2 linked regions of the Medicago truncatula genome follow. The protein of the gene in region 1 interacts with the protein of each later gene in a pairwise test. Links are inferred from orthologs where the notes say so. Each region holds a gene or a part of one and is shown in the gene's direction. Other genes may lie near its edges. The genes, in order: protein ACCUMULATION AND REPLICATION OF CHLOROPLASTS 6, chloroplastic; cell division protein FtsZ homolog 2-1, chloroplastic.

Region 1 (12,152 bases):
CTGCTGTCTGTAAATGTTTGTATCCCATTTTTTTCAAATAAACTCCCATAATTTAGTCTAGCCTTGTCCTAGTCTTGCTTAATGGAATTTACGGTTGCAAGAGCAATTCAAAGAAAAATGAACTGTAAGATAAATTTGATTGGTGATATATATATATGTCCTTTCTCATTCATTAATTTTGTGCTATATTCTGAATCAACAGCAATGTAAACACAGACCATCTTCCATCCTTATTCTTTCTACTCTAATGATGTGCTCTGCCAGTTTAGTGTAAGGGTTTAGCAATATAATATCAGAGCGAAATTTGTAAAAAAAAGAAGAGCGCATGAGTTTAAAAGAAATAATAAACTCATATTGTAATGGTATTTTTTGTCTGTCTAAACGATTATAGTAATCTCGATAAGTTGAATCTCCGGAATCCAACAACAAGCGAAGAAGTCCGCCTTATTCGTCCACCTCTTTCCTCTAGTATCATTGTTACATCGATGATCGATCAATCACATTTGTATGGTTTTGGTACAAATCCTAATACCAAAGTTGTCAGGTTTATTGAGGACTCGTAATATTTAGATGCTGCAACAGCATATCACTTCCTCTTCAATAGAAAATTATAATCTAAGCATTGATAACATGTGATGATGTTACTCAGCAGCATTGATGTTCATTGATTAATGTCTTAGAAATTGTAAATTTATCTTTAGCTATGTCTATCATTTGTTTTCCTTTATTATTGTCATATGTACTCCATCCGTCCCACAATATAAGCAAAAAAAAACTCATTTTCTTTGTCCCAAAATATAAGCAAAAAAGACAAACTTTTATCCTATTTAATCTTGTTTTTTCTTTTTCAAGCAAAACTTTTGTTTATTCTCATAAAATTAAATGCAAATTACATTCAATTTTCTATCTCTTTCATTTTTCTCTTAATCAATAGCCAATGAAAATTGTATTTACATCTTCCTTTAAAACTTTTTCCAAAGAAAACACAAAAAATTATTACTTCAAATTCTTATGTTTTAGTTTTCTTAATAAGTGATTTTTTTTTTTTTTGCTTATAATTTGGGACGGAGGGAATATGATAACAAACAACAATATAGCTTTTATTTGACAGTATTGGTTGCTATTGTCATATAAGATGCTGATAATAATGCAGACAAAATGTCAAGATGCTAAAGTAACAAATTTTGAAATCTCAAATAAGATGAAAGTTTAGGATATTTATATACATGCTGATAATAGTGAATAGTTTAGGATATTTATATACATGCTGATAATAGTGAATAGTGATACACGTTGTAATTAAAAGTTGTTGCGAGTTTAATTCGAAGTGTTTGTCCCATATATGAAAATTTCAGAATCAACAGCAATGCAAACACGCCATTTTTAATCCTGGTTTTTTCAACTTTGATGACATGTTCCTACCAGTTTAATTTCCGTGCCTAAAAAGGTGCTTATGAGTAGAGTTTTGTTAACTTGAGCAGAGTTTATATTATTGGAAGTTCTAATGGATTTCAGTCAAATAGTTGCTACTGCACTATGGCCACCATTGAGTTTCTCAAATGTCTTTAATCTTAAACATAGATAGCTAAGAATATTTATTTGAGTATGTGACTAATCATGAATACTAAATCCAGTGCTTCATAATCTGTCTTTTACATGTTTAGTGTACAATGCAAATAAATACATAAATAAGTCGCTCTCCTTGTTGAGGGCAACTTGAGTCGCTTGCAGCGCTGCAAAAACTCTAAATTACTGATTGAATTTTCAAAATCAACAGCTTAATAGGATAATTTAAGGAGCAAAATTTTCAGGCTGCTGCATTATGCTCATCTATAGTTTGTTTCATTGCCTCCAATTGTGACATGACATATTCCACCTTTTTGAAACATATCTCATTTGCTATTCTTGGGCCATAATCACACTTTTCAAATGGACGATATTCACAAGCACTTTTGATTTCATCACGCAACGCCACTTGGATGTCCTACAAAAAATAAAAAGAAAATGAAGGCTAAAGAATATTACAACATTATAGTAGGGTTTGAATATCAAATTCATAATGATGAACCAAAATAAGAACAGATTACATTGATCACAAATTCGCAGTATCATTTTCACTATTTAACCCTGAATAACTAAACCTGTTAGCAATTAGGGAGAAACTGAAACCATGTCATCGAAAACCACACACACACACGCACACGTATATACTCCAATAACTAACAGGACAGAACTCATTATTGTGAAATATACTAAACATTTTCAAACACAAATAATTCTTCTAGAGGTAGTTATTCCAAATACAATGCACTCAGAAGACCCTCTGTAGTTTGCACCAATTACCCAAACATGTACTTGGTTGTTTGGATCCAAGGTAAACTATTTTTTTTATAGAAATGGGACTTCATTTCATATCTTTAATTTGGATCTGTTGAATTTGATGTTCAATTTTCTTTCCATCGCATAACTAGTGTTGTTTGAGCAGTACTATGGCACATTCTGTCTTGGGTAATTTCAATATTGATTTTAAATTTGAATAAGAACATTATGAACGTAATGAACATTAGATTTCTCAGGATTCAAATACCAAACTTACAAAGAAGTGTGTTTATCACAACCAAACTTACAAAGGAGTGTGTTTTATCACAGCTGTGAAAACAAAGCTTGAAAATACACACCATGGAGAAACAGGACAATTTTAATGATAAACCATTGTTTAAGTGCCAATAGTCAAATCTTGAACTCAATTATACAAATTTGAAGGAATGCTGTGATAAGAGATATCTATGAATGTTCTATCAAGTTTTTTCAGATTTGATACCTAAAAAGAGGATAAAGCGGATATATGACCATTAATTGTAATTGAAAATCAACAGATAGAATTGTGATCAAGGTTATCAAGATCACAATTTAAATCGCAAAATCGTATGATCTTGCAATCCTACTCACATACTCTGATCAAGATTGTGTTTCTGAGTAAGATCAATGTGAGATTGTGATAAAAGAAATACTTGTATATAATGTAATCAATAGCAGATTGCGGAAAGTGCAATGCCAAAATCAGTTATGTGAAATAGCAAATAGTGTCACGGGAAAATGGTGGAAACTGCATTGCGGTTGAAAGAAGTCAATTATAATAAATAAAGTATGTTGCATACAAATGAAAGGGTTATGGGAATCACCACAAAAAAGGGGAATGGAGGCCAAGCATAGCTTATATATTGAAATGTCTACGTACATCGGTTGAGACTTGAGAGATGGCATGAATAAGTGTTTATAAGTGGGGGCAATCCTCACCTCACAAGCCGGTTTATATTGGGGCCTAACTTATCCTTACAAAATCTGCTTGTAAGGTGAGGGTTACCCACGCTTTATAAACACACAGGTCATATCTCTAAGTGATGTGGGACTAACTAACTCATCCTTACAAAACCGACTTGTAAGTTGAGGGCTACCCATGCTTTATAAACATACAGTTCATATCTCTAAGTGATGTGGGACTATATCCACCCCTTCAAACCCAATGGCCAACACAATGAGGTGTTGGAGGGTGCGATGAAGGCAACCCAATGGCCGCAATTAGGCGACTAGAGGCGGAATGCAATGAAGGCAGAATTTCCAATAGTTGTTACACAATAATTTTGGTGTTAATCGTTATATGATGTTAATTATTGAAATGGAACCACTTGAATCTATAGTTATATACCAGTGTAATCTTGTAATAAAAAGTGAATTATTGAAAGACAAAGCAAGGATTACCTTAATTAATTGCATGAATTCAAGACAGTGATTTTGGACAAGATCTTTTCTAGGACCAACTGGGCTTGCAAGCTCGTCCATCACTCCTCCTGCAAGCTCCAAAACCTTCACAATTCTCTATAAAAACACAAAAATCAAGCAAATATTAAGCAATTCTCTACAAAAAAAAAAAAAAAAACCAAGTATGAGTGGAAAGTTGTGTCACTCATGCGATGATGCTTGAAAATATTATTACCTTTTCCACATTCTCAAGTCGTTGCAATGAAGTTGTCTGGCCCTGTGAATCCATTGATGTTGCTTTCTACTTCAAATATGTACAATAAGTATTAGATCAAAACAAAATATTGCAGGAGCAGTAAGTACCAACTAAAATGCCATTTTTTTCTAATATCTTTAAGAACCGCACAAGTTAGATTATGCAGACTTATCATACCACAGACAGAAGATAAAATGTAAGCTCCAATCAATTTTAACGCAACACTAAATCATTTTTCTAAGCAGTAAACTAATGGTACGTTTGTTTGGTTTAAAAAAATCTACAGATTTGTTTAGAGAATCTTACATTCAAGTTCCTTGTTTCTAGAAAAGCTACTACTAGGAATGGCTTTTTTATTTTAAGGTTAAAAATGCTTTTTTTAACACAAACACACACTACTAAAATAATAAAAGTAATTTATGGGTTAAAAAAATAGTTTTTTCTCAACAAAAAAAAAAATCCCAAACAAGCCCTAACACAATTTTACAGTCTGATTTCTAGCAACAGCATCTGTTAATTGAAATTCACAGTTCTCATCCAAATTCAATGCTTATTTTGAAATGCTATCATATTTTTTACAGTAACAAAGACACTGAAGAATTTCTATCATATTACTATGAACCAATCAATTTTCACCTAGAACATAGAATACAACTTATAAAAGCTTCCCCCAAAATTATCATATAAAGATGAAAACAGTGAAGAAATTGCACACAAACCTGAGAGACTACGAGGGAACGCCGGAAAGAGAGGAAGAGGGAAGCTCGCGACTCGCAAATCACAACTGAGAAAGATGAGAACGCGGGGTGATGGTATTTTAGTAATATCCTCCTATTACGGTGAATATGGTCTACATTATGGTGGCATTTAACATGGAAAAGGGAAAGAGTTTCCCACCATGGGAAAACTAATTTTGACCATCAGATTAACTAGAGAACACAACTTTATCATAGACCATCAACACCAAATCCAACCATCCACCCTCTACATCTCATCTTCCTCCTTGCACCCACCACCCCATTATACCTTCTTCCACATTTACTCTCGCTCTAAATCTTTAAGTCAATTTTCACATCTTTAAATCTTTCCCCACGGTGGAATCACTTTCATCTCTAAATCTGATGTTTTAAAAGCTAATTTAATTTACTCTTTCTCTTTTAAGTAATTCATGACATGAAATCAATTTCAAGCTTTTCTCGACATAGTTTTAGCAGGATCATGTAGATAGCAAAATTTTAGTGAGTAAAAGACACCAATGCATTCCTAAGACTTTGGTCAAACCTCAGCTCCATAATCCGACCCATATTTACATTAACCCACTAAAGAAATACCAAAGGATGATATGTGGTAGAAATGTGTGATACAAGCTCCTGGAATGGTAGTCATGGTTGTTCAGAATTTTCAATAAAGACAGCTGGTGGTGGTTGGATAAGTCATGGAGGATAGAGAAATTTTTTGGTGTTGATGGTCTATGATAAAACTGTGTTCTTTATTTAATCTAATGGTCAAAATTAGCTTTCCCATGGTGGGAAACTCTTTTCCTTTTCCATGCTAAATGCCACCCTACATTATAGTTATCTCGTCGATTTATTCGCTAAACTATTTAAATCAACTAAATTGTACTTACAAATATTCTCTCATTTTAATTTTAATATTTAATCCATCAACAATATTTGTTGTTTTTCATGAAAATTCAACGATTAAACCGATACTATATTTCTTCGTAGTTTAGGACCTTATTATATTTGAACATGTAGTCTAGCCTAACATATATATATATATATATATATATATATATATATATATATATATATTAGTGTCCAAATAGAAATAAGGGAGGACATGATTTGGTTTTGAAGAAAATCAATTCGAATTAAACTAAACCATTTCAACGGTTTGAAAAATTGAACCGAACTGTTTGAACTTTACGAATAATCGAATCGAACTAAAGTTAAGTTTCGATTAACCGTGGTGGGAGTGATCCGTAGACAGGGTTATGGTTCTTGTGAAACCCTGGTCAATCTTAAATTATTTCATTATCTTTTTTATTGATAATTTATTTGTGTATTTTGAAGTTTGACACTCTTATACTTGCATCGCGTTGAATAAACATTATTTAACTGAATAATTCAACCATCATATTATTTTACCATGTGTATCATGCTTATGTGTTATATCACATGTGTAAGAATATTTTGACTACTAACTACTATCATAAAGTTCATTATGACTTGTATCACAAGAAGATTCATCTACATTAATATCAAGATGAATTGCATCTCACAAAATGAATAAAAAAGATGTGCATCAATGAGCCAATGTATTTGATACAGCCTTGTGGTTTAATGGTTATATATTTTCCGAAATGCATCTTTTTTAAAAATCAATTTGTAACAAGAGAAATTTTATGATACTCTCTAATACTCTCTCTAACATTCAAACTTTTATTTGATAAAATCTATGTGAGTACAACAGATTTTATATAAGGTGGTGAGACCTACATCAGAGTTTTTTATTTTTTTATAGAAACTTAGCATGACAATGGGGAATCTAATTTTTTTTTAGAAGTAAATAAAAACTCGCCCAAATAGCATTGGAAATGGAAGGGGAAAATATTATTTAACCCTAAAAAGAATGGATCAAGATCAATTTAAAAAGAAAAAAAATGAAAAATAAAAATGGCTAAGCAGATGCAATCCACCTAGAGGATTTGTCAAAATCAATAAGTGAGTTAGTAACGAGTTAGAAGAGAACAAGTGAGAAAGTTGGTAGAAAAAACAATGCAAATTCACTAAACAGGTGAAAATTCGCTTAACAAACTTAAGGTGTCTTAACATACCATTTTTGAGATGGCAAAGATTTCACTTTGAAGAAAGGCCAATTCACTTAGGAAGTTGCAATATGCTAAGCGAATTTCCACTTTCCAAAACTTTATAAATACAAGTTCAAATCACATTTTCAGACGGACAACACAAGAGAGAATGAGAGCAACTAAGGAAGAGAATGGCAAACTTTCATCTTTAACAATCTTTCATTCTCTTGTCATGTGTTGTAAAACTATTATATATATGCTTAGCTAATTTTGTCTATTTCGAAAATGTCTCATCTTGTTAATTTTTTTTATTCCATCTATAAATAGCTGTAAATACTACTTAAAATTTACACACACAAATAAGATGTCTCGATCGTGAACGTCTCATACGTTGATTAATTTATAATACGAAGAAAAGAAAAACATAATTCGTTAACGTATAAGAAAACATTTATTCATTCCTACAAATAAAATAAAGTAATTTGTAAGACATGGATCAATAAGTAATTTGTATGAAAAACTTATAGTCTTAAAAAAAGAAAAAATTGTAAGACATGGATCAACCGACAATACTAATACTACTACATGATAAATCTTCAATATAATGTGTTACCCTAAATAATACCGATGTTTTTTTTTTTTTTTTTTTCTGGTCGGGTTTAAACACCGAACCTTATATAAATTTTGTATTATTCATAGCAACTAACTGAACTAAATTTATGAGAACATATAATATCCATACTACTACATCGTACACCCTCCGGTAACTATTATAAGTAAAACTTTGTATTTTAGATTCATTTAATTAATGATGTACATTGTCTTTATTATACACCACATGCATAATTTAATGAATGAATCTAAAACACAAAATTTTATTTATAATAGTGGCCGAAGGGTAGACATCTTTATCTAAATATTTTCATTTGGATTTAAATATGGATTTGAATAAAACAAGTTTGGATTTGAACCCTTGAGTTTCACTTCCTAACTTCTATGGTCACAAACAAGATTATTTTATTACACGTTGGATAGAACATAACTAGAGGAGAGAGAGGGAGAAGAAAGGGTTTTAACAAAAGTTCAAAGTTTTAAGCTATGGATGCTGCGGTGGTAACCGGCGTAACCATCGGCGTCAGCCTCTCCACTTCTCGCCGTCTCACACGCTTCTCCAAAAAACCTAACCGTCTCCATTCCTCCGCCGTCTCCGCCACCAGTAAATGGGCGGAGCGACTCATTTCCGATTTCCAATTCCTCGGCGACACCTCCTCTTCCTCCTCCACCACCACCTCCGCCACAGTCACTCTCACTCCTTCTTACCCTCCTCCGATAGAACGCCACGTGTCACTCCCTCTCGACCTGTACAAAATCCTCGGCGCCGAAACGCATTTTCTCGGTGATGGTATTCGGAGAGCTTATGAAGCGAAATTCTCGAAGCCTCCTCAGTATGCTTTCAGTAATGAAGCTTTGATTAGTCGTCGTCAGATTCTTCAAGCTGCTTGTGAAACCCTAGCTGATCCTGCTTCTAGAAGAGAGTATAATCAAAGCCTCGTCGACGATGAAGACGAAGATGAGGAATCTTCCATTCTCACTGAAATCCCTTTCGACAAAGTAAGCTTTCAATTTCATTCAATTCAATTCACATTTGAGTTTTGCTTCATTAAAAAATGATTAATTGTGTTAATTGCAATGATAATATGAGTTTCATTTACTAAAACACTTTTATTAGTGGAGTAGTGTAGTTAGAAGTATAAGATACAAAAAATTAGTTTAAGACAATGTTTTGCAAAAACAGTGAATAGTTGATAAGCAGCTTATAGTGGATGAGCTTATGGAAGATAAGCTAGATGATTGAATTTGTAGTGTTTGTAAACTTAGCGGTTAAACTAGCTTATATATATGAAATGACATGAAAAATATATATATTTAATTAATATATAATTTTTTTCAATTTAGATTATAAGGGTAAAATTGAGAGAGAAAATGGTAAGTTATAAACTACTTGAGTTAGCTTATAAAGAAACTTTAAGCTAGTAAAACTAAGTTATAAGCTCGCGACAAAATGACAATTGTCTTTTTCAATCAGACATAAGCTATAAACTCAGAAATGTGTCTTGGCAAACATACCTTGAGTGTCACATTTGAGCTCCGCTTCAAAAGAAAATGATTTATTGTGTGTGTTGATTTCAATGATAAAATGAGTTTCATTCACTAAACAATCCTTATTAATGTGGAGTATCTAGAAGAAATAAGATACAATTAATAAGGTTAAATTAGTGGGGAAAAAATAGTTAATGTTTCATTAGTGTTCTAAAGTGACTATTATTTTGGGATAGAAAAATATTGCAAATGAGACAATTATAACGAGACAGAGCGACTATTTGTTAATGTTAATGCAATGATTCTTTTTATTTTTGTGTTTTGTAGGTTCCTGGAGCTCTGTGCGTGTTGCAAGAAGCTGGAGAGACGGAGTTGGTGCTTCGGATTGGAGGGGGTTTACTGAGAGAGAGGTTACCGAAGATGTTTAAGCAAGATGTTGTGTTGGCTATGGCGCTTGCATATGTTGACGTTTCTAGGGATGCTATGGCTTTGTCCCCGCCAGATTTCATTGTTGCTTGTGAGATGCTGGAAAGGGCATTGAAACTTTTGCAGGTGAGAGATAATACCTAGTTTTCAGGCCTATAATAATGTAATTTACTTACAGTGATGCCTGTCTGGATTTAGCTTCTAGGATAAGAAAATACCATTATATGGTTTTAGATAATTGATTGATTGTAGACAAGTTAAATGAGAGATTTTTGAGAAATTTTGAAATGTATAGGCTAATTTCAACTTGTATGAGAAACAATTGTTTGAAAATTGATTGCTATTATACAACTCTTAATATTTTAATTTTGATAAGTATTTGCAGACAAGGTTATCCATACTTGACTCTACGAGTAGTAGAATAATACCCCGTAGACATAGAACATAGCCAGTGCCCCTTTTTGCAATTTGAAGTATTCAGAAATTGCACTGATTAGACAAACATATAGCTTTTTTTTAGTGGAGCCATACTATCTAGTATAAAGATTTGTTACCGAACTGAGTACAAAAATAAAGAAAAAGTATAACTATTGATGATGGTTCAATGTAAAAAGTAATAATCTACCCAGTTATTCAACCAATCTTAATTACCCATGCAACTTTTACAAAATCATTTCTTTTAAGCTTGCAATGTATTAGGCCATATATGTATGTTGTATATTTTTTATTAAACATTTTATAATGTTTAATGAATGTCCGTGGATTACTTGTTAGCAGGACTCGTTTACAATTTTGTGTAATCTTTCATGTCATTATTGTACTTAGCTTTCCTAATATTGATGTAATCTTCTTACTTATCACTATTGCCACAAAATTGATATGGTGCTGTTGTTGTATTATGGATGTGGAAGTAATAAGTACTTGGGTGAAATTTTGTATATTTGTCAAGTATAGTATTCCTTTTAAACTTTACTACTGTTGCATTTCCAAAATCTACACAATATTATTTTTGCATGTATATAATGTGCATTAAAACAATGTGTATAGCTTGAAGACTCAAATTGCAGTTCTGGTGCAATATGCTTTCTGATGACTCACTTGATCATGTAGGAAGAAGGGGCAAGCAGCCTAGCACCGGATTTACAAACACAAATTGATGAGACACTTGAAGAGATAACCCCACGTTGTGTATTAGAACTTTTAGCCTTGCCTCTTGATGATGAACATCGAGCGCGGAGAGAAGAAGGTCTCCAAGGTGTCCGCAACATTCTGTGGGCAGTTGGAGGTGGAGGAGCAGCAGCAATTGCTGGGAGTTTCACACGTGAGGATTTCATGAATGAGGCATTCCTGCATATGAAAGCTGCCGAACAGGTGTTCATAGAATATATTGTGCATGTTTTTTATTTTAATTTTCTTCCGCCCCCCTTAGTTTTTGTTTATGAAGGTTTTACATTTATCTCTTTCATTAATTCTTTTTATCTCCAATCTTTTTTTTTAAGGTCGAACTTTTTGTAGCAACACCTAGCAATATTCCAGCTGAAAGTTTTGAGGCCTATGGGGTTGCACTTGCATTGGTTGCACAAGCCTTTGTAGGTAAAAAGCCACATCTTATCCAAGATGCTGATAATTTATTCCATCAACTTCAACAAACTAAGGTAACAAATATGAGGAATGCTCCCTCTGTTTATACTCCCATGGAGATGGAGAAGAGAGAAGTTGATTTTGCATTAGAAAGGGGTCTGTGTGCACTGCTTGTTGGGGAGCTTGATCAATGTCGATCATGGTTGGGTCTCGATAGTGACAGCTCACCTTATCGAAACCCATCTATTATAGACTTTATTATGGAAAACGCAAAAGGTGATGAAGACAGTGATCTTCCTGGACTCTGTAAATTGTTGGAGACATGGTTGATGGAGGTGGTTTTCCCTAGGTTTAGAGATACTAAAGAGACAAACTTTAAGCTTGGAGATTACTATGATGACCCCACAGTGCTAAGATATCTAGAGAGGCTGGAGGGTGCTGGTCATTCACCCCTGGCTGCTGCAGCAGCTATAGCAAAAATTGGAGCTGAGGCTACTGCTGTTATTGGCCATGTCCAGGCTAGTGTAATAAAAGCATTAAAGAGGGTGTTTCCTGTTCGGTCTGATAATAAAATATTGACATATGAAGTAAATGGTGAGAAGGATCATTCCAGCCTTTCTGAAAATGAGGATCCCCTTAGATTATCAGATCAGAATCCTCCGGTCAATGTTGAGGTTTCTGGAATAAAAAATACTGCTGAGATAAATGATGGAAACTTTATTACTGATGAAATAAAAAATGCAAGTGTGAAGATCATGTGTGCTGGTGTAGCAATTGGACTCATAACTTTAGCTGGTTTGAAGATTTTACCTTCTAAAAATGGCTCGCCCGTTCTTCACAAAGTGACTGGTTCAGCAATTGCGTCAGATACTATCAATTTAGGTATGGTCTTTTTGAATCATCTACAACCACTGAAGTACTAGTACAGATATTTTCTTACTCGTGAGATGGATTCTATTATCAGAGATGTGAAATTAGGTTTCTGTAAGTTCATGATGTAAGCTTCTGGCAATAGTTGCTTATTGTATACATAACAGATTCAACTGTACAGGTCCTGTAGGAGATGAAGAATTAGGAGAGCAACTACCAAAAATGAGTGCAATGGTTGCAGAAGCTCTAGTCCGCAAGTGGCAATATATCAAATCCCAAGCTTTTGGACCTGACCATTGCCTAGGAAGATTGCAAGAGGTAAGGAATTTAGTTGGTCCTTTAAAATGG
Region 2 (11,900 bases), on another chromosome or scaffold:
TGCCACCTGTCTAGCAAATTGAGACTTTTCTATGGTGGGAAAGAATTCCTCCTACCCACCCTAAATGCCACCCCAAAGTAAATTTATTTTTCCTCTATAACATAAAATCGATATGAATATTTTACTTATTTCATGTGCACATATTATTTAAGGTATATACCTTTCTCGGCTTTTGGTAAAGATCAGGTAAAGATCAAGTGTAATATGTATGCACATGTTATCATGCCCCTCTTTGTATTCACAAACATTTTTCACGAGTAAAAGACCAGGAAAGGAAAATGTGGAATAAACACAGCAAACATGTGCAATGCAGTACTAGCCTATCTATAATAGACTCACAAGTCACAGTGGATTGGCTTACGAGGATTGACCTAGTTAGTAATTTAGTTTGTGCATAAATGGTTCTGGAGTGATAAACTGATCGAGTGAATTGATTTTGTAAATTGATTCTGATTTTAAGTTTATTGAAGATAAAGTGATTTGTGTTTAGATATATTCATGTAATAATGAGTTGAACTTCAAATTTATGAGTAAAAATCAATTATAGAATCAGATGCTACAAATTTCAACTTCAAATAGAATAAATTCTGGAAGCAAAATCAACTATACTCCAAAACAATTAAACATGTCAATTAATTGGCACCTTTGGAAGAGAAACCAAATACACACTTATAGCGAGTGAGTTTAAGTTTCAATGTCGATGGACGTCATTGATAGATAAAACGTAAGTTAATACTCCATAAGCGTTTTTTGAACCTTTTAAGACTTTCTTTTTGTCCCTGGGTGAGTCTCCAAAACTCATCATAACTGAACTTTTTCTTCAATATTTACTTAAAATGGATTCAATCCTCATTCCTCCCCCTAAACTTTTTTAGCATTAAATTCCTCTATTATAAAGGTTATCACATATATGTTATTGGTATAGTGAAGCAGTAAAAAGCAACGTGAATATCAACAGCTCATAAGCCCCAGCCCCCCTTTTTCTTTGACACGGAATAAACTATAAAATGAAGGATTGTGGAAGGATTTTAAAAAATGACGAACACCGCAATTTAGACTGCAACATCATAATTTTGTCTCCACAATCGTAAAGTGACTGCAATTAATGTCGAAGCAAGGTCGAATCAAACTATTTGACTATCTATGATCATCCACAATATTTAGCATAGCTACTTTGATGTCTCCACAATTGTAAATCAAATGCAATTAAGGTTGAACCAAACTGTTTGATTAAGATCCTCCACAATATTTAGGACCACAACGCGACCCCAATTTAAATCCTTAGGTTGCAATGGTGTTATATTGGTATTTCGAAATATAGATCGAGGGGTAGAAGTTAAAGATAAACAACAACAACAACAACGAAACAAAAAAACAGAGATCTCTACATTACAAAGAATCTCTTACTTTACACCTGAGCAATGCTTGTGCTACTTGAGGAAAACGACACAAGAAAATCATGGAACATGAAAGTACCTTCTTGTCTGTCTCGCCGGATGAGATCAAACCAATACTTTGACGGCAATGAATGCATGTGGCTGAACCTCCTACTCATATTCAAACTCAAACTTTATATGACTATATTTTCTTCCTAGTTGAATCATGAATTCAGTGAATTTGGTAAAAGTTTGACACTCTTCATGTGTTTTGATCTCAGCAACATAGCCATAAATGACCATTTTTTTTAGATTAGGACATCCTTCCAAAAGTCCAGCTACCCAAACTGAGAAAAGATCACTGATTGTAGTCCATCCAAGTTCTAACACAACCACATTCATCAGAAAAGACAACCCTTGCAAGCCATAATGAAGCACTCCATCTTTCAAATCATAACTTAAGGAAAGGTGCGTCAATCTAGGAAAACAAACAGAAATGGTCTCTATATCAACAACTTCATCCTCGTCGTCAAAAACAACACTCCACAGCCGAAGCTTTTTTAACTTTGACGCTTTTGAGATCATATTATAAAAATTTTGCCACATAAATATGAAGTTACACACATCTACGATCTCAAGGTTTTCTGTATTATCTCCAATGTCAAGATGGATGACACTCACATCATCAAGCTTCAATACTTTCAATGTCCCCTTATTGATCAATTCAAAAGCATCAAAGGAACAATCTTTCAGATGCAGATTCTCGAGCATATCCGCCACTAATATGAGTTTATCAAAACTATATGACTCGACAAAGAAATCCTTCAAAGAAGAGCTGCTAAGCTCTATTGAAGCCTCTGAATCTGACATAGCGATTTCTGGACAAACGATAGACAAGGTTTCAAGTTTCGGACAGGCAGAAAGAAGAAGACTCAAATCCAACGCTGAGATGCTAACAAAACTCAACGACAGCGACTTTAAGCAAGGAAATTTATGATACTTCGGCTCAACACCCGAGATAGGATTGCTAGCCAGGGTCAAAACTTCCAATGTTTTCCTGCTGCATTTCTCAATGATATTGAAATTAGGGGATGTCCTCACATTATAACGTAGCTCGCGCAATGAATCCCTCGTATACATAAGCCAGGCAATGACAGGGGTAACAGAAAACTCATGCTCGTCGTCCATGAAAATTGTTAAGCACTGCAATCCTTTGGTTTGAAAAAGTGTACAAGTGATGAGCATTTCCAAGTGACTAGAGCAAATTTCGCGATATAGGGGCCAGTCAGATGTATTGAATGAAAGAGTTTGGAGGTGAGTCTGCCAAGCTTCTCTCCATTTCTTGCAAGTTAAGGATGCAATCAGAACATCCCTAGCAGACCCAAGATGGGATAATATGATACCAACCACTTCAACAGGAAGATCCTCCATAGCATAAAATAATTTAACAGAACCTGTATTTCAATCAAAAACAGTATAATTCATCAAAACATGACAAAAACAAATTAAAATAAACTCCAGCTTACGCAGGGTCCGGGATAGTGTAAAGACTTTTCACACTTTCAATTAATCATAACGATTCAATCGTTATAACAGTTCGATCATCAAAAAAGTTTGACTTTCATCATATTCTAACTTAAAAGTCATGATGATTTGTGATTGAATGATGGTGAATTTTTATTTTTTTTAATACTAACAGTGCTTCAAAATTTTCTCAATTAAAAAATAAAAAATTGGAACTTTATCATTGAAATAGCATGAGAATGAGATTATACAAAGTAATAGAAAGTGATAGTATGATACCAATCACTTCAACATGAAGGGTCTCCAATCCATTGCATAATAACAAAAGGTAACAGAACCAACCAAAATATCAATCAGAAACAGTCTGGTATATCAAAACCTACCAAAAAAATATAACAATAATGAATTAATTGAGTAAAAATCATAACTTTATCAATGAAATGACAGGGGAAGGAGATCATGTGAGTGAAATAGTATCTGGGTCATTAAAAAGATGAGAATTTTACCAATTTTTTATGCAGAGGATGTGAAGTTAGCATTGAATTGAATAATTAAAATGAAAGTGGAAAAGATTAGACGAAAGATAACAGTTAGAAGGGGCTTACTTGGATGATTAAAGGGTCGGCAAAGAAAAATTGAAATCGATCAGAGAGAGAGAGAGAGAGAGAGAGAGAGAGAGAGGGAGGGAGAGAGACGGGGAGGGAGAGAGAGCTGGAAGAAGAAGAAGAAGCGGCTCTCTCCTCAGACGAAGGGAAAATTTGGCTGTGTGGAAAGTTAAATTGGGTGGGTCTTCAAAACGTGTGCTATGATGTCACGTGCTAGGAAGAAGAAATGAATTAAAACACAGCAAAAAAATAACAAATCAGATATCTCGAAATACCTCTGAAATATATGATATATGTGAAATATCTTGCCAGAGTTTATAACATATATATATATTGGGTGGGTTTATAGCATGTAAAATCGCCCAAATCTACTTAATATAGGATTGGATCCTCTGCGGTTACTATAGGGTTAAGCGAAATCTCAGGACGGTTATCCTTATCAAAGATATGCATCTTGTACCTTAATTCATTCATCAAAAGCCTCCAATAGGCCAGCTTCCAAAGAAACAAGCGGATCGTCCAAATCGACTAAAACAACTTAGAAACGTTGATCTCGGGTGTGATTTTATTCATGATGAAGGAATATACTGATTTAAGCGATAATCTCCCCATTGGTATTACAAGTCCAATCAGGGGAAATATTCGTGTAGTTCATGTGATAGGAGGCTTCATGGGTATTTGGTTTGCGGAATTTCAAAATCGTTGACCCAAATTTGATTATAAGTTATAGCATTTTTGCTAATGTAACATAGATCCAATTTAAAACTTTAGTTATATGTGGCATTTATCCTTCATTTTTGAAAAAAAAAAATAAAAAATCTACATAACAAACACGTGTGGTAAATGGTGTGACATAAGGTTTAGCTAAATTAAGGTTTAGTCGAATCTCATAAAATTTAATCAAAAGTGTGTGAATATGAGACATGTGAATCTTTCCAAAGTTCAATGCGGTTCACATATGCTTTTTAAATGTCATGACAGGTCAAAGGCGCGTGGAACTTGACTATTCAACATTTTGTGTGTGTTCCATGGTTATAGAGTCATTAATCAAAACAAATATCTTTAAAGAGGCATGATCTAAGTCCATAACACATGCATGGATAAAGGGAAATGGAAATGTCGCAAGATACGGGGGAATTAGCCAACGTACGGTACCACGTACACCCAACAACATGAAGAATCGTGCAGAAACTGGAAAAGAGTCAATTGTGGTTAAATTTTATAGGTCGCAATGTTTTCGCCATCAGGACTAACTTTGTCTATATGTGCCACACTGTGCAAATTACTCAGACGCACATAGTCAATCAAACAAGTTATTTTTTGCAATTTTTATTCTTTATCTTTCTGCTTGTGCATCATTAGTTTAGTACCTCGCAAAAAAAAAAAACACAATTCTTAACACTCTTTGGAGAAATTTCGCAACTCACAGCTGAAAGACATAATTCATTCATTTGTCGTAGCCATTTGAAATTTAAAAGTGAATCACAACTGAGAAGTTAAGAACTCTTAGTCAATCACTCGACTAATTTTCAAGTCTGACATCATTTTTTTAGGGAAGTTTGAAAACATTTATATAGCAAGATAAGTGTAGTACTATAAAGACTTAAATGTATTTTTGGTCTCTCTATTTTGCCTAAATTAAAATTTTAATCTATGTATTTCTAAAATCGGGTCATTGGTCTCCTTGTTTCATAATTTTCATGATTTTATATCCTCCCTCAATTTGAGGTTTTTTTCTTCGAATCTTTCATCATCGTATGATTAGATGACACTCCATAACGAATCTCATAATAATCACTTCACGGCTGTTGACACTCCATAACAAATGTTTGAATTGCGACTAAGAGATGTATCCACATACCGTGGAGAAAATTATTTCTAGTCGAGAAAATCTACGAGAAACAAAAAAAAGTATATACATAAGTTGATTCTCAAAAAATCTATTTGTATCATTTTGACTTTTAAAAATTTGCATCTAATCATTCCTTATTAACATGTAAAATAAAGTCGAGAAGTTATTACCAACCAAAGTTGTCTAGAAAAATATGTTAGACTCCTACCAATGTTTATATTTAGTTTTTGATACACTTTGAATAAGATTAATTTCTCTGAAAGAACATATGTAAAACAGAAAAAAGAAAGGGAAAAAAGTAATGGAGTTATTATGAGGTTATAAAAAGTTGATCATAATAATAAGTTTAATAGATAAAAGGTTATGCAACTTCTTTGAGAGCTTAACTTGGTTTGTAGAGACATTGCATAATATATGCATGAGTCTCTGAGCATTTTATTTATTCATTTTAAGATGTAAATTTATAGCTACTAAACTATTTGAAGAAAAAAAAAGTAATACATATAAAACCTTCAAAGTTTTTTATTTTTAAATACAATACATTTAAAAAAGAAAGAAACTTATTTTATTTAAGGTATTTATCTCCTATAGAGGTTCAAATATATGGTAGACTAAAAAGAAAAAAAGCAATTTCACAAATGTTTTGTTGGTATAAAAAAAATATACACAAGAATATAATATTATGACACCATTAATATGTAAAATATATTCACAAATACTACATAGTATTGTTTTTTTATGCAAAAAAAGTTGAGGTGAATTACCAATGCAATGAATTGATTTAAATAGTAAAATATTTGATCCATTTAAATAATTGGTAATGTATTCGATCTCAAAATCTTGTATATGAAAATATTTTATTAGAAAGACAAAACTCACTTTTTATGTCTCACATATTCTTAAGAGAAATTAATAACATGTCTTCATCAAAATTAAGACAAATCTCAAAATTTAGTCATTTTATAGTCAATTTCATACCTATAGTAATATAATATTGAGAAGACAAAATTGTCTCAAGCACCGAAAGAATACAAAACGCTCTTTGTTTCGTTTCAAAAAAGAAAAGATAAGAGTTATTCACATTTTATTTGATGTAACGAACGTCGATTGTATATAGTGTAAGTTTAAGAGAATATTTACGAGTTCGTGAATGATAAAAATAAAATAAAAATGAAAGAAAAGAACGTGAGTCACCCCACATTTTCATTTCGTTATCAAGAACAATGGACAGCTAAGAAAATAGACCGTGTTTGTTGTGAAATAACAAAACCCTCTTTTTCTTTGGTTCCACCATCAATCACTCACTCACTCACTCACTCGAATGTTACTCTCGCTTTCCCAATACATCATCTTCAATCCATTCCTCAGGTTTTTCTTCTCTTCTCAATTCTTTACCACTTTTACTTCTCACTTATCAATTCGCACCACGCTTCTTCAATTCTCTGCATTTCATTCACTTTTATCATTATCAGTACAATTAATTCGCTTTACTCTCTACCAGTTACACCTTACTGTAGTTACTTAATTATATTTGTCTTACCCTAAATAATATCTCAATTATTATTATTATTATTATTTTCATTAACAGGTACTACTGCAACCGAATTGCATCCTCCACACTTTGAATTTCTGATTTTTCTAAATTCACACATTAATTACCACTTATGAGTTTGGATACTGTAAGAATGGCTTCTTGTTTTGCACCTACGAATTCAAGAAATTCAGCAGGGGTACTCGCTGTTAATGGAGGAAGAAAACTGTTAGAAAATCATCACATTAACAAATCATGTTTCGTCAAAATTCACGAAAATAAGTTTGCATTTTCTAGCGTTAACAACAGAAAGTGTGGTTTGTTTCAAGTGAAGTCGACAGGGTTACCGAATTCGCACAGTGTCAGTCCTTATCATCATAGCAAAGACCCTTTTTTGGATCTTCATCCTGAGATTTCAATGCTTAGAGGAGAAGGAAGCAGTGGATTAAACAACTCTACGCGTCCGAGAAAGGATACGTCCGGTGGTGATGTGATGGAAGGGTTGGAAGACAATTTGACTCCGAGTAATTATAATGAAGCGAAGATTAAGGTTATTGGTGTGGGTGGTGGTGGATCGAATGCTGTGAATCGTATGATTGAGAGTTCCATGAATGGTGTGGAGTTTTGGATTGTTAATACTGATGTTCAGGCTATGAGAATGTCGCCTGTCAATTCTGAGAACCGGTTGCCAATTGGTCAAGAGCTTACACGAGGTCTTGGTGCTGGTGGCAACCCGGAGATTGGTATGAATGCTGCTAAAGAAAGTAAAGATTCGATACAAGAGGCGGTTTATGGAGCTGATATGGTCTTTGTTACTGTATGTTCAACCACTTTCCTTCCATTATGGCTGTTCTGCATTACAGTTTTACATTATGAATTATATATTTAGTATACTGCATACTTCTGAACATTACCATGCGTTGACATGATTTATACGCTTTCTTATAATACTGAAGTAATTTTTTCCGTCAATTTAGGACTCAGTAGAATAGAGTAAATAGTAATACATGATTGGTAGGAAAGAATGGGCGTGGTAATCTATTGTGTAGTGTGAGGAGAAATAGGCCTCAGTATTCCATAAAGGGGTTATCTATTTGGCTCATTGTGAAGCTGTGCTCTTTTCTACGTGCCTTTTCTGTGGTAGTATTCAAGTGTTTGATCTGAGTTATCATAGCTTTATACTTTATCATGCATTGTTTATCTGTCCATTCATGTCAATCATTTTTTTGTTCTGTACTGTTGCATTTCTTCAAAATGTTAGAATTCAAGATTATTCTGAACTACTATAAGTTAGGCTTTTTATCTCTTTCATTTCAATGTTCAGTCTTAAATAATACTAGACTGATGGATTTTTTGTTGAGGGGGGTACTTAATAGGGGGTGAAGCAAAAGTTTGTACTGTCAAAACAAAAATATCATTAGTATCAGGATATCTGTCAGTCCAAACTTCTTCACTTAAATGAAATCAACCCAGGCGCATGCTTATGTATGAGAATTCTAATGTATAAAAATTGATTCAACTCCTTACAATATACAACAACTTCGCTCATAGTAATATAATAACTTTGTGTCCCCGTGAGCTTTGCTCAGTTGGTAGGGACATTGCCTAATATATGCAGGGGCCAGGGTTTGAACCCCGGACGCCCCACTTATTCTCCTTAAAAAGAGAATTTATAGCCACTAGGCAGTGGCTACTTGACCAAAAAAAAAACGTTATGTAAAAATTATAAAATGACGTATACATCAATCCCCATACAACTAGGTTGCTGGCATCTCCACTTCAATTGGAAGCTCGTTTTGTGCTAAAAGGCACTTTCTCCTTCACTTGTTTATTTGTCGAAACTCAAAAGAGTATATTTCATGACAGATGACTACACTTAGATTGTCAACTTATCTAAATCTGCTATCGAAATATCATTTCCCTAGGATGTCACTTTAAATTATCAAAATTATGCTTTTTTGTAAAATGGAAGAGATTTGCAATTTCCAATACTGTGATGGACTGAAGTTCAAAATATAGTTTATTAGACTATAATATAATTTTTTTATGAAACCTGTGCATTTTTAAATTAGTTTTATGTGATATTCCTTATGGGTTTTAGAAGACGAATTATTGAAATGTGTATGAAATTCTAGTCTGTATGATTTTTTTTTAGTCAATGCCTTTGTGGATTTTTCAGAATTGGGAATAGACACGGCTGCGGTTCCAAATTGTTATTCGTTGGTATATTTTGATAAATTTGAAAATCAAAACTTATTTATGTAGGCTGGAATGGGTGGAGGAACTGGTACTGGTGCAGCCCCAGTTATTGCTGGTATCACAAAGTCAATGGGTATACTAACTGTTGGTATTGTCACAACCCCTTTCTCGTTTGAAGGACGGCGGAGGGCAGTTCAAGCACAAGAAGGAATTGCAGCCTTAAGAGACAATGTTGATACCCTGATAGTTATTCCAAATGACAAGTTGCTTACTGCAGTTTCTCAGTCTACCCCTGTAACTGAAGCATTCAATCTGGCTGATGATATTCTTCGACAAGGTGTTCGTGGCATTTCTGATATTATTACGGTATGGAATCATAAATTTCTTTGGACATGAACTGATACCTCTCTGTTGTCGCTTTGTTTAGTTTTTTCACGTTAAATTCTGATTGTATACTAGTAAAAGGATGAAAGAGAGGGAACCCTAATTGCATCTTTATTTATTTTGAGTTTTGACATATCCGGTAGTCCCCTGATCCACATTTGGTTGTTGAGTTTTTTTATTATGTTCGTTCAAAATTGTGTTACCATTAGTTTATGTATTAACTAAATTGATATATTTTTTGTTATCAGTTTTAGATGCGTTTTGATAAAACAACATAATAAGATGTCCTGATAATACTTTCCCCATGGCTCAAAGCTGAAGGTGTCTTTTTTTGAATTATAAATGCCTGTGAATTTTGTTATTTAAATGCAGATACCCGGGTTGGTGAATGTCGACTTTGCCGATGTTAGAGCTATAATGGCTAATGCAGGTTCTTCACTTATGGGGATAGGAACTGCAACTGGTATGTATGCAAACTGCTGTTGGGGTTGCAATACTGCTCCTGAGTCCAGATCTTCTATTTGACCCAAATAATATTTCTGAAACCTATAGTTCGCTTACATAATACATGTAGATTTTGGTGTAATACTCAAATTATATAGGACTACCAAATGTTATATTCGCATATCATATGGTGTGCATGTCTATAACTGAAGGTTTTTACGGCCAAAGTTGTTTTAGAGGATAGCTGGCATTGCAATGAAATTATTCTTTGACATAAGAAATCCAAACAAAACAATTTAAAGGTTGCAAAATTAACTCTCATGAGTCATGCACACTTCAAAATTCATGGAGATGCACACATGTTGATGGTGAATATGCTTTAATGTTCTTCAATCAGAAAATTTCACATTTTTACGTCACTTTCTGTTACCTGACTAAAATATGAATGTATTACCCTTTGCTTAGTCAGAACTGATGAGCACATTATTATTGTCCATGGTTACATGTATCATTGAAATTTATCTCTAGCTTCTTTTTGTATTGAAGGGAAAACGAGGGCAAGAGATGCTGCATTAAATGCTATCCAGTCGCCCTTACTAGATATTGGTATAGAGAGGGCCACTGGAATTGTATGGAACATAACTGGTGGAAGTGATCTGACCTTGTTTGAGGTAGCTGGCTACCCCTCTGACCCTTACAGATTTATCCTTTGTTAAATATTTGTTAGTTACATCTTTAGTTCCGTTCACAGGATGTTTCTCTCTCCTTTTTTTTTACAAGTTTATTCTCCCTCTGTTGATTCAAAATTTAGATGATCTAAGGATCATGGGAAGTGGTCAGGAGCAACATGCACTGAATTAAGTTAGATTTCCCCCCTTACAACAGCATGCAAATTACATTCGAACAGAAGAAACTAACATATATCTAATAGGGGGCATTTCGAGAATTATAACATATATTTATGAGAATATGCATGGAAAACCATATAAAAATTCTAGTTATTTTTAGGAATTTAAAAAAAAAATCCCAATAATTTTAAATGTTAACCAAAAGTTTATTTTAACTGACTTGGTCTCCTGGTTCTATCACTATATATTCCTTTAATATCATTACCAGCCAGCCAGGCAGGGATGTATTTTCTTTTCTCAATTACTTGGAAACAAACACACTGGTGTATATAATTTGTTTTTGTAAAAAAAAATTCCTCTGTCCTCTAGTCCAAGTCCAATTAATATAGCACTGTTATCTTGCTTTTCCTGTGAGCTATTTATAAACATGAGTTTTGAAGTGGATGGTTGTTTAAACTTTAAAGCATGCTTTGGCATCCATGCTGTGAACAACGAAATATAATGAACAAACTTTTTATTCTGAACTCTGACTAACTGTCTGCGTCATGATCTGCTCTATATTAAATTCATCATACTCTTGTATCTAAGATGGTCCTTTATTATGTACAGGTAAATGCCGCAGCAGAAGTTATATACGACCTTGTAGACCCCACTGCCAATTTAATATTTGGAGCAGTAATAGATCCATCACTTAGTGGTCAGGTAAGTTAAACTATGTAAACCCTTAAATGTTATTTGTATGAAATATGAATATGAACTTCTCTATGTTATGTAAATATTTTTCCTGAAATGAATTAGGCAACATTACCCTGGTGTAGTGTGCCAAGAAACAGTAGATTTTCTGCACTCAATCCTAGATACAAAAGTTCTAAATTCTTTAACCGGATCATCTCTTTCTGTTGTGTTACTTTTGTCAAAGAAATCTAGCTTCCGGCTGGTTCCTCTTATACTCTTTTTATTTTTAAACAAACACTGAACACCATTTTTTGTTCGGAAAAATTGCACCCACCTCTCGTCGGGTTTGTTTAAATGACAAACACACCTCCTCTATTGTTACGAAATAGAAGGGAAGTGTGTGTAATTGAGGAAAAGTCAGTTTCATGTAAAATTTGTTCTAGAAGTAACTATATATTCTCA

The links.
Region 2: the proteins of protein ACCUMULATION AND REPLICATION OF CHLOROPLASTS 6, chloroplastic (region 1) and cell division protein FtsZ homolog 2-1, chloroplastic interact in a two-hybrid assay, tested with the Arabidopsis thaliana proteins (3 studies listed by BioGRID, with this or other methods). The link is inferred for Medicago truncatula from reciprocal best matches to the Arabidopsis thaliana genes ARC6 and FTSZ2-1.

Annotation. Positions count from the first base shown.
Region 1 is NC_053042.1:7,527,767-7,539,918, reverse strand, and holds the start of protein ACCUMULATION AND REPLICATION OF CHLOROPLASTS 6, chloroplastic, read left to right. Parts: upstream 1-7,811; 5' UTR 7,812-7,925; coding exon 7,926-8,438; intron 8,439-9,254; coding exon 9,255-9,479; intron 9,480-10,463; coding exon 10,464-10,724; intron 10,725-10,852; coding exon 10,853-11,816; intron 11,817-11,985; coding exon 11,986-12,122; intron 12,123-12,152. Other genes in the region: mediator of RNA polymerase II transcription subunit 11, read right to left, coding at 1,808-1,984, 3,760-3,876, 3,995-4,048. UniProt on the Arabidopsis thaliana protein: Component of the plastid division machinery consisting in a binary fission accomplished by the simultaneous constriction of the FtsZ ring on the stromal side of the inner envelope membrane, and the ARC5 ring on the cytosolic side of the outer envelope membrane.
Region 2 is NC_053048.1:49,365,829-49,377,728, forward strand, and holds the start of cell division protein FtsZ homolog 2-1, chloroplastic, read left to right. Parts: upstream 1-6,553; 5' UTR 6,554-6,725; intron 6,726-6,945; 5' UTR 6,946-7,021; coding exon 7,022-7,705; intron 7,706-9,153; coding exon 9,154-9,453; intron 9,454-9,843; coding exon 9,844-9,934; intron 9,935-10,461; coding exon 10,462-10,586; intron 10,587-11,372; coding exon 11,373-11,465; intron 11,466-11,900. Other genes in the region: F-box/LRR-repeat protein At1g67190, read right to left, coding at 1,548-2,807. UniProt on the Arabidopsis thaliana protein: Exhibits GTPase activity which converts GTP ligands to GDP.